Linked DNA regions of Stegostoma tigrinum. The protein of the gene in region 2 purifies or fractionates together with the protein of the main gene of each other region. This does not show direct contact. Links are inferred from orthologs where the notes say so. Each region holds a gene or a part of one and is shown on either strand. Other genes may lie near its edges.

What was found.
Region 1: the proteins of smarca1 (region 2) and chromatin remodeling regulator CECR2-like purify together in Homo sapiens (affinity purification with mass spectrometry; 3 studies listed by BioGRID and IntAct, with this or other methods). This does not show direct contact. The link is inferred for Stegostoma tigrinum from reciprocal best matches to the Homo sapiens genes SMARCA1 and CECR2.

The regions. Positions count from the first base shown.
Region 1 is NC_081371.1:27,549,098-27,556,380, reverse strand, and holds the start of chromatin remodeling regulator CECR2-like, read right to left. Parts: upstream 3,051-7,283; 5' UTR 3,001-3,050; coding exon 2,860-3,000; intron 1-2,859. Other genes in the region: adenosine deaminase 2-like, read left to right, coding at 4,420-4,735. UniProt on the Homo sapiens protein: Regulatory subunit of the ATP-dependent CERF-1 and CERF-5 ISWI chromatin remodeling complexes, which form ordered nucleosome arrays on chromatin and facilitate access to DNA during DNA-templated processes such as DNA replication, transcription, and repair.
Region 2 is NC_081368.1:32,753,556-32,761,574, forward strand, and holds the start of smarca1 (probable global transcription activator SNF2L1), read right to left. Parts: upstream 3,060-8,019; 5' UTR 2,879-3,059; coding exon 2,819-2,878; intron 695-2,818; coding exon 644-694; intron 1-643.

The DNA of each region.
Region 1 (7,283 bases), on a different chromosome or scaffold from region 2:
GCAACCTCTGTTTGTTATAAAAAATATACTCCTTTTTCTTCAGTTTATAAAGATTCAAATTTGCTAAGGATATATCTGTTCTTTAAACCACATTTTTCCAACAGACTAAGCTGCGATTTCAATGGGATGAGAATTATTGCAAACTCTCCAAGTACATGTTCTGATCCTACCTTAAAGCTGCCACCAAGAATTCAGGGAATATTTCTACAAGCAGCAACAATAACATATTCAAAAAAGGGTCACATTTATCTTTTTCAGTCTTTCAACTGCAGTACTTCAACTGCAATGAGTTTCACTACCAGACAAACTTGTAACATACCTCCATTTTCATGGCTTGTTTCAAATTAATGATTACAGTTTTACACAGCTAAAAAATTACTTTTGCAGCTACACCTCTGGTATATAGTTCATTATTTTCCCCATTCTTCCCTGAAGGTACTGAATCATATTGGTCGACAGCTCAAATGAATGCCACGCACCATCTGATGTTTGTCTAAATAGGCATTCGCACATGAGCGCTACACCAAAACCAGATCCTATTTTCATTACATATTCAAATACTATCATTAAAGTAGTGAAGCTCATTGTAACTCAAGTCAGGCACCTCAGCAGAGAACCAGGAATTGAAACCGCAGTAATGCATTTACTATTTCTGCCACCAGTGACAAGAGTTATTGAATCAAAAGTAACTATTTCACAAACAATGTACTTCATGCTAGGTATGAAGTCTCTAAATTGCACATCCAGTGACCAGCTGAATGCGAGTAGCTGGCAGGTTTAAAAAAAGATGCAGCCATCTGCTAAATGTACGAGAATTACATCACAATCAACATACACTGCAGGACTGTGTCATCCGATTTCACAATGGTATTACTCCAAAGCCAGAATAAAGGCCAGCCAGAAACAGCATTCAAATTACCTTGATAAATGCCACATGTGCTGTACAAATGCAAGTTATGATGAGTAGAAACGGCTTATGGAATAAGAGTTCCATGTGCAGTTGGTGCCACTCATTCAATGGGGTAAAGCACCAGTACCAGATTGTTTACGCATTGAGAAAAACTCCCACACCCCAAACCAAACAGATTTACCTGGTTATACAATTTGCTACTTTTAAGTAGCCACTGTAAACACAGTGAGAAATGAAATGAACGTCAACCTCAGATTATCTAAACTACACACTAACTACAACCAAAGTGTATGTATTCAACCAAAAAATTTCGCTACCAAGGACAGCAACATGATTGTAAAACAAACTGTGAAATCAAAATGAACACGCATAAAAGTAGCAATTTCACTAGGCCCACAAGCAAAACAATTTGAAAAGTGCGAGAATACAGTCTGTCACGGAGGTACCGATCGGCAGACTATTTACAGCAAGCACGGGAAATCAAACAAACCAGTGAATGGATTTCGGTGGGGGTGGGGGGGGAGGGGGGTTGGGGGGTGTGGCAGAAAGAGAAGGGCAGCGGGAGGTTAAAAGGTAAAATGGAACTGGTCACTCCATTTTAGGAGTGGGCGCTTCGTCCTACCAACATGTTAAATTTCTAGAATGTTCTCTTTCATATATCGCTAACAACGCAGCAAGGTATTTTAAATTGGAAATCTATTATGGAGGAAATAAACAACTTGTTGCATTTCAACGAAGGAAAAACCAAACTTATCCTTCAAAATAAACAGAGCATTCGTAGTCTAGTTGATGGTTGGTTGACACATTTAGAGACCCACAAAGATAGCAAGAGAGAATTTTGATCAGAGCTGCAGAACATGCCTCACACAAGATGCATATTCTACGTTTAAAACACATTGAACACCAACTCAAGTCAGGGACTTGGTTTCTCACTTGCAACTTCATACATACAAAAAAAGTCATCGTATTTGGATTTTAAACAAAAACTCCTCCCAGAATCACAGCAAACGTTTGTTGTGAATTAAGCCTTTCAACTCCCCTCCCTCCCGGAGAAACAACTTTAAACAATAGACTCGCCGAACAAAAACAACAACAATGGGGGGGAAAAAAAGGGGGGGGGAAGAGAAGAGAAGATATCGGACAGAGCAGGATGAATGATTGTGTTTGTTCAATTTTACTTGAAATCGAATGATTCTCTGAATTTCGTTTCCCAGTCGGGTTGCAGAACGTTAACGAACATGCTGTTTTCTTTGTAAGACCTATATGCCAGAAATCGAATTTAAGATCGTCTAAGCAAGTTTAATTTGTTACACTTGTGTTTTATCAACAGTGACGAAATAGACCGAAATACTCTGCGCCTTGCCGATGAATCGAGCAATTTGCGAAACGCCCCTACGCTGATATTGACTCCGTTTTGTTAAAATATACATTTTAAAAGTTATTGGGTATATATTGTTCGTCGGAGGCTTTTCTACTAAAAATTGTAGTTTAAAAGGGTAATCAGCTAACTTTGTTAGCAGCATGTGGCTCGTCTTTCTCCTAAACAATGCCATGGCTATGATGGATGTGTGGCAGAGCAGATCATGAAGAACGGCAGCACCTTATCGGAAGGCACGCTCCTTTACGAAAGGAACACACCATGTCCTCCCGTTTTCAAGCCCAAGAGATACCAACTTTATTAAACTTTTTAAAACTAAGACAAACGTTTTATACAACAAAAGGTAAACAACGATGATTAAAGTCCACATCAGTGTATCGGTGATTGCAATCGAGCCGTTTTAGAACCACAATAGAATTGAGCCAGCAGCTGGGAGGCGAGATTGACATCCTGTATCCATATGATTACTAACTTTGAATTCTTTGAAATGACAGGGGCTTCGAGAGGCAACTTAATCATTTACAGGAAAGAAAAAAGTCTCATAACTCATTGAAGGGAAAAACAGAATTACCTCAATTTCGAAGTCTGGGAGCCCAAATGCTGTCCTGAATAAAGAGCAAAAGTGTGCGATGGCGGGTACTTCCCACCAAGAACGAATTTCTTCTACCGAAACGGTCGAAGATGTACATTCCTCGGACATTTTAAATGGCATCAAATAAATCCCTGTCCTCACATGAGATAGTTTTCCTCGAACTTGGCTTCCTTGTGTAAATTTCCACCCCCACCCTCCCCTCCACCAGACCCCCTCTGTTTCCAGTCTCCTAGTGCCGGTTGGCGTAAGGAATGTGCTGGGTGTTAAGTGTGTGCGCTGCCTGCCATTGCCGGTCTATTCCTCTCCTCTTCTCTCTCTCTCTCTCTCCCCTTCCTTCCTTCCTTCCTTCCTTCCCCTCTCTCTCTCTCAGTGCAGGCGTGCGTGTGTAATCCTGGAACAATCTCGCAGCCCCATTCTCAGCGAGGAACAGATGGCCGGACAACAACAGGGGAGTGCTCCAATCCTTCAACACACCGGAGGGAGACCAGGACGCACTGAACTGCTCAACGCCCGGCGCATCCCTTCACCAAAACTGCCGACAGCCCTCCACCCCTGCTGTGCACAATGGCGAACGCCGGGCCGAGCCCGAGGCAACGGGGAGAATGGCGGCTTGTTGGGCAGTCGCTGCCACGTTCGGAACTCAGACACCCCCGCGAGAAAGTAGAAAGGCTCGTCGCCACCAACAGGAAGTGACGCAGAGGTCTCCTGGGTACCAGCCAATGGGCTGAGCCGCGCTGTCCTTTGGGATGGGGGAGGTGGGGCGAAGTGCCTGGATATATTGTGCGCACCCCGGGGGTTTTAACGTCGAGTTTGTTTAATAAGGCTGGTCTGTGGATTTTGGGAAGGAATGACTGGGGTGGGGAGAAAACTATCCATTGAATAATCGAGCTATTCTTTAGTTTCCTTCCTTGCTATATTAAGTTCCTGCACTTTAGAATTGGTGTCGAGAGCCTTATCGTTTGTTGTTTAGTTGGAGGTTGCAACTAGTGGTAGAGTGCGCGAGCGTTTCTGTTGGATCACCCAACGTTCCATTCCCAGAATCTCCGCGTTCTAAACGGTTGTTGTTGTTCTGGAGCCCGCGCTCGGGCTAAAACCTTCCTTACTCCCCTAAGACATCCCCATCCCCACCCCCACCCCCTTCCCTGGGGAAAGGGCGAGTGACACCGTGCACCGCCCATCCATTTCAATGCTGTCGCCTGCCAAAACACCCAGTCCCTTTACTTCGGTGTTTGATTGCGTTAAATGTATTCGACTTCTTATCCTTGCCCCCGAGTAATCAGCAGAGATGTGACTGCTTTTTTTTAAAAAAAGTCACCCTTCTGTCATGGGCATCAGGACACAAGTGACAATTTCTCTTTACGTGGGTGCACGCGTTTCCTATATCAAATAACAGTCCAGTTACTTCAGCTGTCCCCTTAAAGGGAAGTACAAGATCTTTGCAGAAGCGAAAGTTGAGTTTATAATTGATTGCACGTTTCGTGTTCTCGTCAGTTCTCGCTAACGTTTGAATATTATACAGAACCGTGTGGTCTTTTGAAAATGAAGGCACCAAATTTCAGAAAAGAGGCAGCTGTGTTTTCCTTTTTCTTTTGTTTGTTTGCGGTGTGTCAAACGTTTCCAACTCCGGCCGACCGAGCTAGTTTGATAAAACTGGAGCAGTTCCAATTTACAGGCGGTAATCTCCTCTCGACTGAAAAAGAACTGCAGGTTAATTGTATACTTAAGAGAATCAAAGCAAAGGAGATAATGGAAGGAATGAAAACTGGTAAATTTGCCCCAGCTATGCACTTTTTCAGAGCAAAAGAATTAATTGAACAAAGTCCAGTTTTTAAAATTATACAGATGATGCCCAAAGGTAAGCAATGATATGAGGTTTATTAATCGACTGCGTAATGGGTTGCGGATATTTTAGAAAACTGGCTTTTTTAAAAAACTTTCAAATGAAGATAAAATGACCACTTTATTCAACATACAGTGTAGACCTGGAGGAATCAAGCCGGTTCGGCAGTGAGGAACGTCGACGTTTCGGTTCGGGACCCTGCATCCAGGACTGGGAGGGGAGCTGTGTAATAAATAGAGAGCAGGGGTGGAGCTGGGAAAGGTAGGTGCGATGGTGATAGGTGAATGCAGGTAGGGACTGGTGAGAATTGGTCAGTTAGTTGGGTGGGGCTGATAGATGGGAGATAAGATGGACAGGTTGCCTCATGTCCAGGAGGCAGGGACGAGAGGGGAAGCGGGTTGGACTTGGAAATAGGCCCTGGGGTGGGGAGAGATGAAACTGGTGAATTCTGTGTTCAGGCCATTAGAGGCCGAGTATGTTGTTCCTCCAGTTTGTGTGTGGCACCATTGGGACACTGGAGGAGGCCCTGGATGAACATGTTAATGGGAAGTTAGGTTGGCAAACAGAACGGTGTTGCTGGTTATAGTGTACAGAGTGCAGACGCACCGTGAATCGGTCACCTAGTCTGTACTCAGTCTCACTAATGCAGAGGAGGCCACATTGGGAGCAACGGAATACAGTGTTGAAGGTTGGAGGATGCTACAGGTGAACCCCTGTCGGATATGGAAAGTTTGTTTTGGGCCTTGGACAGAGGTGAGAGAGGAGTTGTAGAGGCAGGTGTTGCACCTCCAGCACTTGCAGGGAAAGGTGCTGAGTGTGGAGTAGATGAGCAAGTCACGGAGTGAGCGGCCCATACAAAAGGCCGAAGCGGTGGAGATGGAAATATCTCTGGTGGGGTCAGATTGCAGGTGGCAGAGAATGACCTGCTGGATGCAGAGGTTGGTAGAATGGTATATGAGGACCAGGGGACTCTGTCTTTATTTTTGTTGAGGAGTGGGGATTTCAGAGCAGAAGTGCGGGAGATGCAGTTGAGGCAGTTTGGATCATCGGAGGGGGTAAGGTTTGACTAGGAGTAGAATGCTCCATCTTGGGAGCAGATGATGTGGAGGTGGAGGAATTGGGAGTGAGAGATTGCATTCTTGTAGGAGGGTGGGTAAGAGGAGGCGTAGGCAAGATGACTACGAGAGTCAGTGGCTTTGAAATAGATGTTGGTGCTGAGACAGATACTGGAGATGGAGAGGTCCAGGAAGTGGGGAGGAGTATCCAAGATAGTCTAGGTGAAGTTGAGGTTGGGGTGAAAGGTGTTGGTAAAGTTGATGAATTGGTGACCGATTTGCAGAGCATCTGTGCTCTGTCTGCTATAATCAGCAACAATTTCTGGTTGCCAACCATTTTAACTTTCCCTCTCACTCCCTGGGCCACATGTCCATCCTGGGCCGGCCTCCTCCAGTGCCACAATGACGCCACACGCAAATTGGAGGAACAACACCTCATACTTTGACTGGGGAGCTCGTGGCCTGACGGCCTGAACATAAAATTCATCAGTTTCAAAATCTCCCCCACCCCGGCTTCATCCCAAGTCTAACCCTCCCTCCCATCCCTTCCTCCTTAATCTGACACACTCTGTTCATCTTCTTTCCTACCTTCCACCCTACTCTTGCAACTGACCAATCTCTACAGCCCCCACCTGTGTTCACCTGTCACCAACCTTCCTTCCTTCTGACCCAACTCCCCGTTTATTTCTGAGCTCTGTTTTTTTGCCCCCCTCCCCAGCCCTGATGAAGGGTGTAAACCTGAAATGTCAACATTCCTGCACCTCTGACCTGCTGTGTTGCTCCAGCTTCGCACTGTATTGACTCTGACTCCAGCGTCTACAATTCTTGTTACCTCTGTGTTTGGTGAGTCGTTGGATAAAATGATGTGTGACTGTTGGGGATTTCACAAATCTGGAGGTGTACTGTATTGATCAAGGGTCTGGGGAGGAGGCACTTATCAAAGCACAAACTAAGAAAAACTATGAATGCAAGACAAACTGTTAACCGTTACTGAGGGAATGTAACAGCTTTTTATATATTATTGGTGAATCTCCCACGGTGTGAACTGAGAGGATGTTTCAAGTATTCTGTATAACATGAGATATTGGTGTATTTTCTTTTAAGAAATAAAAGATCAGAATAAAAGGTAATTTTTGACAGGGCAGTTCGGTGAGGGTTCAGAAGGTTGCAGATGACTCTGATTTTGTTCCTTTAAAGGTTTGTAGATATTATGAAATTGATGAAAATGAGTTGAAATGTTATTTCGTGCCTGTAGAGCCAAGAAGTGACCTTTTGAAATATAGGAACTTTGCACTTTGTATCAAACTTGGATCTGTTTACTTTTCTGTGGTGTAACCTGCATTCTAGAAATAAAAGCAAACTCGAGACCAGGGTTGAGAGGAATCAATTATGCAAAGAATAACCAAACAACATGTGCTCACATAAATTCATTTATGACTTGTTCCTGAATTCTTCTGTGTAAATAGTATGATAGTGCTTTGTGCAAAACCTTTAATCAACTTTTATTG
Region 2 (8,019 bases):
GTGGGAAGTGTGTGCTGTAATATGAGTAGTTAATAAAATCTATCTACAATGAGAGACTTACAATGTAATGGTAGTTACCCTACGTCTGGGCAAGAAGGTCCAGGTTCAAGTCCCATTTCAGGATGTAATGAAAAAGGTCACAACACATGTAAAATATTTACAGAGACATGATTTGGACTAATAATGAAATGCAATTGCATCAAAATAAGTTAGTCATCACTCAATAGCAAGATTCTGAAGTCAAAGTTTAAAGTTTAAGGGGTAAATCAATCATTCTTTTCTCGAAATCGAGGTTCTCACTTTTTCATTCTCACTACGCTTTCTGGCCATTAGCTGCACCACTCCAGGGAAGGGGTAATTCCATGACTGTTTCATTTTTCATACAGCCAATGAGCTTTGAAAACAACTTTAAAATATTGGGAAAATTAGGAAAACAGGAAATCAAAAATAACTTCATAACAAGTTATTCAACAACAAAAATTTGGCTGCAAGAAGATGCACCTGAAATTTGAACGAAACTACTTCTGAAAGTTTTATGTAGAACAAGCTTGGAAGACCACAGATGTGTCAAAAGTTAAAGAATAAATGTCATGCACCTTGTACATTCTAGATTGCACAGCCCAATGTGATATTATTCACATACCTGCACGTTTGAAGGTTCTTGTTTAACTTCAGGGCCAGCCTGTTCACACAGCTGAGGAAAAACATTAGTGGCGCATTACTTCAATCATTTTGCACAGCAGCTATAAACTTAACTTCTGTGTAGCAAACTATGTTTTACAGATGTGTATTATATCCATTCATAACCATTTATTGTGAGTTTGTGCTTTTGTGTTTTGAGTTAGTAACCAGTAGGTTTTCTGTGTGTCTGAAGTTAATCATTAACTTGCAAGTATTTCAGTAGCCAAGGTAATTTCTCATAAACAGATTTCGGGCCTGGCTTGAGAGCAATTGGGTTTTTGCGCACCACAAATGGATTTTGTACTTATTCATTTTAGATTGGTTTATACACAGCAAGGTAAATAATAGGGTCTCAAGTTTTATTACTGACTTCTGGAACTTGTTTCTTTTAATGTTTAGTCGAAACATCCACAGCTTTGAGAGGGAGGCTGTCATCTTCCGTTTTCCTTTGAGTTGGGCAGTCCTAAGAAGCCCTTGGCCAGCGATGGCTGTATAGACTTAGTGAACCAAGGAAGAGGAAATATGATGTACTAAATTACCTTAGAGTGAAGAATATTAATCCCAGGCTGGAAGGGATGATATAAAACCCTAAAGGCATTATTTAAAACTGTTTCTACTTAAACACAGATTAAGGGGTTTGGTGGAGCAGGGAGTTGAGGTGAGGAAGGAGTTATTGGTCTCCCAGTATTTGAAAGGATTGAGAGAGAGAGAGAGATGCTGTTAAGTTGTATTTTAGTATTCAACAGCATTTTAGGACCTTGAAGAGTGGGCAGATATCATGGGAAGCCAATAAAAATACGTAGAGGTGTTTTAAGACATGATACTATTTGCGGTTTCAGGTACAGCAGGGTCTGTGGAGTGTTTGAGTACTACATATTAATTATAACCACTTGGACTGAACTCATGACATACCATTTTTCCCTTGTGATCATACTATGGGGAGGGAAACGACAGAAAATACTATCAGAGATAATGGGAACTGCAGATGCTGGAGATTCCAAGATAATAAAATGTGAGGCTGGATGAACACAGCAGGCCAAGCAGCATCTCAGGAGCACAAAATACTAGTCAGTTCTGTGGTGTTCATTAAAGTCACTTTTTGCAGCCAACTTTTTCCTTGCATGTACTGCAAAGGGAATAAAGATGGTAGCACTGTAGACCTTGAATGCAATTAACAAGTTTTAACTGTCACATTATTAAGGAAATAATTTATAAGTCTCAGTTGAGATATGCTATGCAGCTCATCAAAATGTCCCTCTAGCAGGCTTATTCTGCCTTCACACCACAGCATGTGAGCAACGTGAACATGACCAATATTTTTGTTTTTGCTAACTCGTTTGGTCTAAGTATATGTCCATTATAAAAGGTTAATCACTGCACTTCAAAATTAGGTCTTGCTTTCCCGGAGAGGTGACAAGGTGCTGTGTATTTGCTACCGTTTTGAGTAAGTTTCTCCTGACGTGATCTAGTTCCGCTGTAATATCTTGTTTTATTTGGTGTAATTCCAGTTATTTATGTTTCTGCACCAACTCAATTTACATATGTCAAGCTCTCTCAGCAGCCTTTTTAAGCATTCCCACACTAAAACGGGGGGGGGGGTTCGAAGTCACTGTTGCAAACCACATTCGCTTTCGGTATTCTTTTTTTAAAAATCGTGTTTATTTTCGCCCTCAGTTGAACCAGTGTCCCTCAGTGCACATTGATACACGCAAGTGGCCAGCGCTGACGTACAGAAAGGAGAGCAAAGGCCTGGACTTCCCAGGCTTTATCCTCCTGTACAGCTTACCCTGACTGGCCAGCGCGCAGCACGCAAACTGAGGCCCGAATACGGACTGAGGCTAAAATATTTATTTATATAATATTCTTTTTTAAAAATAAAAAGCACTTCTCCCCGTGCTTCCGGCAGGACAATAAACAGTCACAGTGCAGTCTCGGCACCCTTGTGTGTTACGTGTGTGTGTGTTTGTTTGTTTTATTAAACAGGAGCCCGCAGCACTTGAACAACTGATTGGCAACAGCGTCCCTCAGGGTGAACGGCGGTGTTTTCCCGCCACCGAACGTTGCTACTCCCCCGGCGTTCCATCGCCAATGGATACAAAGTTGGAAACAATGAGCCGGTACTTTGTTACACACTCACCCCAAGCGTGTCCCCCTGGCCAGAGGTACTGGCCGCCTCCTCCTCCTCCTCCTCACTCATCCTGCCGACACACTCTCTCTCTGCTGTCTGCGTTACAAACAACAACAAACCAAAGCAACCCGGTTTAGGCGTTCGCTTGCACTCAGATTCTCCTCATCGCATTGTTATTGCACTGCTATTGAGAAAGCCAAATGAAAACCTACACCCCCCGCCCGTTCTGTCATTTTCTACAAACATCGCGAGACTTCTCACCATTCCGCCAATCGTTCGGCAGATTCTTGTGCCAGTCTGTGATATAGTTCGAATGGGAATAAGTCTTGCCACTCCTTATTTCACACATGTGCACACCATCAGCTACCAAACACAACCTTCCTCTTTTCCTACGAAGATCAGGGGATAGGCTACTCATTTTACATCGTGAAGTTGGACTAATTGCATCCTAGAGAATGTTCAGTCTCCTAGCTGGTGCATGACTGCAACTCGACCTCTCGGGCAGGATTTGATAATTGGTGCATAGATTAGGAGACTTTTTTTTACGTCTTTGGCTGTACTCCTGATGTGGTAATGAAACAAACCTGGGAGAATGCCTCGGTGCAAGCAACGACATTATTCTCATGATTTTCTGGTATAAAGCCAGTTAACACAGGCTGTATAGATTTCCATAGTCACTATACACCGGCAATCTCGAAACTACGATATAAAGGAGACTTCTTTTTGTTTTGAACGGAATATCTGTGTTTTTATTAGTCGTGCCCTTCTGCAGCAAGTGAACAACATGGTCCACAGTAGTACACTAAGTTTTAAAAAATGCCAAAGCCCACATATTTTGATAATGCTTCCCCAATTGCAAAAGCAATTGTCACAACATTGTTACTTGTCATTAAGCTGATAACTAATCGGCCTTTTGACGAGGGGTGTGGGTAAATTAAAATTCCGATATTATTTATTTGAAGAATCGGATACTCAAACAGATTGGGCTAACTTTTGATGTTACTGGAACTAATATACTAAACCATTCTCGCACAATCTGATGACAGGAAGAAACTCAAACACAATCTCTTAAATAGAAATCATGTATTCATCATAATAACAATGCAAAAATATTGGAGATTTTTCCTTATATGTGCATCAACTATAGACCCCCAAAAGAAGTTGCATGTGCAGTTGGAGAGATTTATGACCAACATTTACGTGCAGTATAATTAATATTTGAATCTTAAAGCTAAAAGATTGTAATTCAAGAACCAATCCATAAGGGTACCAACCTGCTTTGGGGTTTCAACTCACTTGAGAGAAGCTTTGAATTCAACAATTTAAATTATCCTGCCTGGATATATTGAAAATAAATGAATTTACATTGGCACCAAATATTGTGGGTCTGATGATATGGATGTTTATGATATCATCAAAATCCACAAGTTATCCACTGCTTTGTAACTGCTTGCTAGGCTTATGGCAGGCTGAGTCCTGCAGTGATAAATGAGTTAGCTTTACACCCACTTAGTACTGATGCAATCAGTATCATTAACTATTACATGAGTTCTACAACACTACTCGGTATATTGTTTTACTCCACAAGTATTTTTGAACATACACTTTGATTATTTTTTCATATTAGTAGTTAATGGGAGATTTTTAGCTCCCTCAAAGGCTCTTTTCTAGTCCTTGCTATTCTACATTGTTTTTATGATTTAAGGTGAAAGTAACAGTGCTAGAAAATTACTTGATTTTAAAAAACGTATTTACTAAGAAATACTGTCGCTGTTTTTTGACAAATGTCAGATTTTAAATTGAAAAACCAGTGACCAAGATATACAGACATAAATTATGATCAGTAGGCTATTCAGCCACTCAGGCCTGCTCACTATTTAATGTAATCATGGCTTATCTGATTGTGGATTCAGTTCTCCTTTACCGCCTACCCATCAAGGCATAGATTTTCTCCACCAATTTTTCAGAATTTATTTTTAATGGGCATGGGAAATATGTAAGTGGGACATTCTACCAGCTTTCTTCACATTGTTTTTACAGACACTTCATTTTCTACCATTTAAGGGTGATGTATAATAAGTCATTCATTGTAAGTCTATGTAATTGAATAAATATATCTGAAATATTTCAATGACAACTTGCTTTTATATACCATCTATAGCATAGACAAAAGTTCCTAAGCACTTCACAGATGTGAAAAAAAGGGCTGATGTTCCAAAGAAAGGCTGTGGCACAGTGGTTAGCACTGCTGTCTCACAGCACCAGGGATCTGGATTTGATTCTTGGGCGATAACAAAGTGTGAAGCGGGATGAACACATTAGGCCAAGCAGCATCTCAGGAGCACAAAAGCTGACGTTTCAGGCCTAGACCCTTCATCTCTGTGTTCATCCAGCTTCACACTTTGCTTTCTTGGATTCTCTAGCATCTGCAGTTCCCATTATCATTGATTCTTGGGCGATTGTCTGTGTGGAGTCTGCACATTCTCCATGTGTCTGTGTGGGTTTCCCCAGGTGCTTTGGTTTCCTCCCATAGTCCAAAGGTGTGCAGATTGCATGGATTGCCTATGCTAAGTTGCCCATAGGGTCTAGGGTGAGAAATGCAGGGAAAGGCTAGGTGGTGGACCTGCGTGGAATGCTCTTCAGAGGGTCAGTGTGGATGTGATGGGCCAAATGGCCAACTTCCACACTTTATCATTGAATTAAGCAGGCTTAAATTAATGCCTTAAAGAGAATGGATGAGGGTATGTAACATAACTGTGTGTAAAAGAAAAGTTTGTGTGATTGTAAGGGTGGAAATGTTTATTAGAATAATAAGATTTCGGTGAAATGAATTTGAAACATTCTGACATCTGGAGCCAAGGAATGCGTATGGTGAGGTTACTGAAAAAGCAGGACTTAACCTGTGATATGTACAGGTAGCAGAGCTTTGGCTCAACTGAAGTTTATGGGGGCTGGAAGCTGGCCAGGAGAATGTCAAGGTAATTGATCTCAGGTGGATGAATGGCTGGTTTTAGCAGGATATGGGCTGAGAAAGGGATAGACATACGCAATATGAAATTTAGTGGTCTTTCTGATCGGGAAGATATGAGGTTGGAACAGTTTAATTTGGTCCTAGTTAGGTTGCTATGTTAGGATAGAATTGCCGTACAAGGTTTATGGCCAGAGCCAAAAGCATGCATATTGATCTTTCCAATGTTCAGTTTCTCCATCAAGTAGTATAACATCATTGACGTAGTGGTGAGGTTGTGTGAAATGTTTGATATTTGTGTAGCAGTGGTACCCATGGCTATGGGTGATGTCACTGAGGGGCAGCTTGTACAGCAAGGATTAAAGAGGTGTCCTTGGTGTTGCCTAGAGGTGACACTTTATTGGTAATTACAAAAATCACTTCCAGGTATCCTCTGGTGACAAGTAAATGGATAAGAATGGAATCAAGAAAGTGCAGTCCCAGGGAATTGGACACCAGTGAAGTGGTGTTGGAGAATGAGTGTTCATCAAATGCATTGAAGGCTGCACAGGAATCAGTGAGGATAAGGACAGGCAATAACTCATCAGCACAGAAAAGGAGAATATAGGACAATAAAATGTGAGGCTGGATGAACACAGCAGGCCAAGCAGCATCTCAGGAGCACAAAAGCTGACGTTTCGGGCCTAGACCCATCAAAGGATGGAGGTGCGGCTTGGGGTGGGAGGAAGGGATGGGTGAGAGGAAGAACAGGTTAGGGAGGCAGATACAGGTTGGACTGGTTTTGGGATGCAGTGGGTGGAGGGGAAGAGCTGGGCAGGTTGTGTGGTGCAGTGGGGGGAGGGGACGAACTGGGCTGGTTTTGGGATGCGGTGGCGGAAGGGGAGATTTTGAAGCTGGTGAAGTCCACATTAATACCATTGGACTGCAGGGTTCCCAAGCGGAATATGAGTTGCTGTTCCTGCAACCTTCGGGTGGCATCATTGTGGCAGTGCAGGAGGCCCATGATGGACATGTCATCTAAAGAATGGGAGGGAGTCAGTTATAGAAGTTTTGGTGATGCCCAGAAAAGGCTATATAATTGAATGATGGATTGGGGCAGGAGACAGTCCGGAAACATGACCAAAGTTGGCAGCTGGAAAAGGGAGGAATTGAGGCATAATTGTTTTGTGTGTATATGCGTAAAGAAGCTGACTGTTTTATATAAGTTGACAAAGAAACCAGACGGTGGGATATTAGTTTAGTTTCCCTAGTGTGGAAACAGGTCCTTCGGCCCAGCAAGTCCACACCGCCCCTTGCAGCATCCCCCTATAACCACACACCCCTGAACACTACGGGCAATTTAGCATGGCCAATCCACCTAGCCTGCACATCTTTGGACTGTGGGAGGAAACCGGAGTACCCAGAGGAAACCCACGCAGACACGGGGAGAATGTGTAAACTCCACACAGACAGTTGCCCGAAGCGGGAATTGAACCCGGGTCCCTGGTGCTGCAGTGCTAACCACTGTGCCACTGTGCTGCCCTGTTGGTTCGTTCACTGAGCTGCCTGGTTTTCATGCAAACGTTTTGTCTCCTTTCTAAGTGACACCTTCAGTGCTGTCTCGCCTTCCTTGAAGCACTGTTCTGTTCTGCTCTGAATTTATATGGTCCGGTCTGTCTTGGTGGATAGTCGCTTCCAGTTTTGTACCTAAGTGGTACGTAGATGGGATCAATTTCAACATGTTTGCTTATTGCACCAGTGGTTGAAAACCAGACCTCCAGGAATTATAGTGCTTGTTTGTCTTTATCTTGCTTGTCCTATTACTGTGACTTTGTCCCAGTCAAATTCAAGTCCTTTTATGTCAGAGTGTAGTCAAACGAGGGGAGAGTTTGTTGTGTTGTTTTGCTGTGAGTTCGTGTTCATTTTTCTCACAGTTGCTGCATGGTATTTTATGTATCACATTTGTCCTGCTCATTGTGGTTGTGTCTGTGAGTAACTGGCAAATACCCAAGCTACAGATCTCTGTTAAAACATTAAAGGTTAGGGTATGTTATAATGGGAATAAAAAATCTCTGAAAGAACTGCGCATGCTAAAAATCAGAAACAAAAACTGAAATTATTGGAAAAGCTCAGCAGATCTGGCAGAATCTGTGGAAAGAAATTGGAGTTAACGTTTTGGGTCCAGTGACTCTTCCTCAGAACACAGAATCATGCTTATGTTACAAAGGGCTCTTCTTGGATAAGAAGGGGTGGGCTCTGTGAC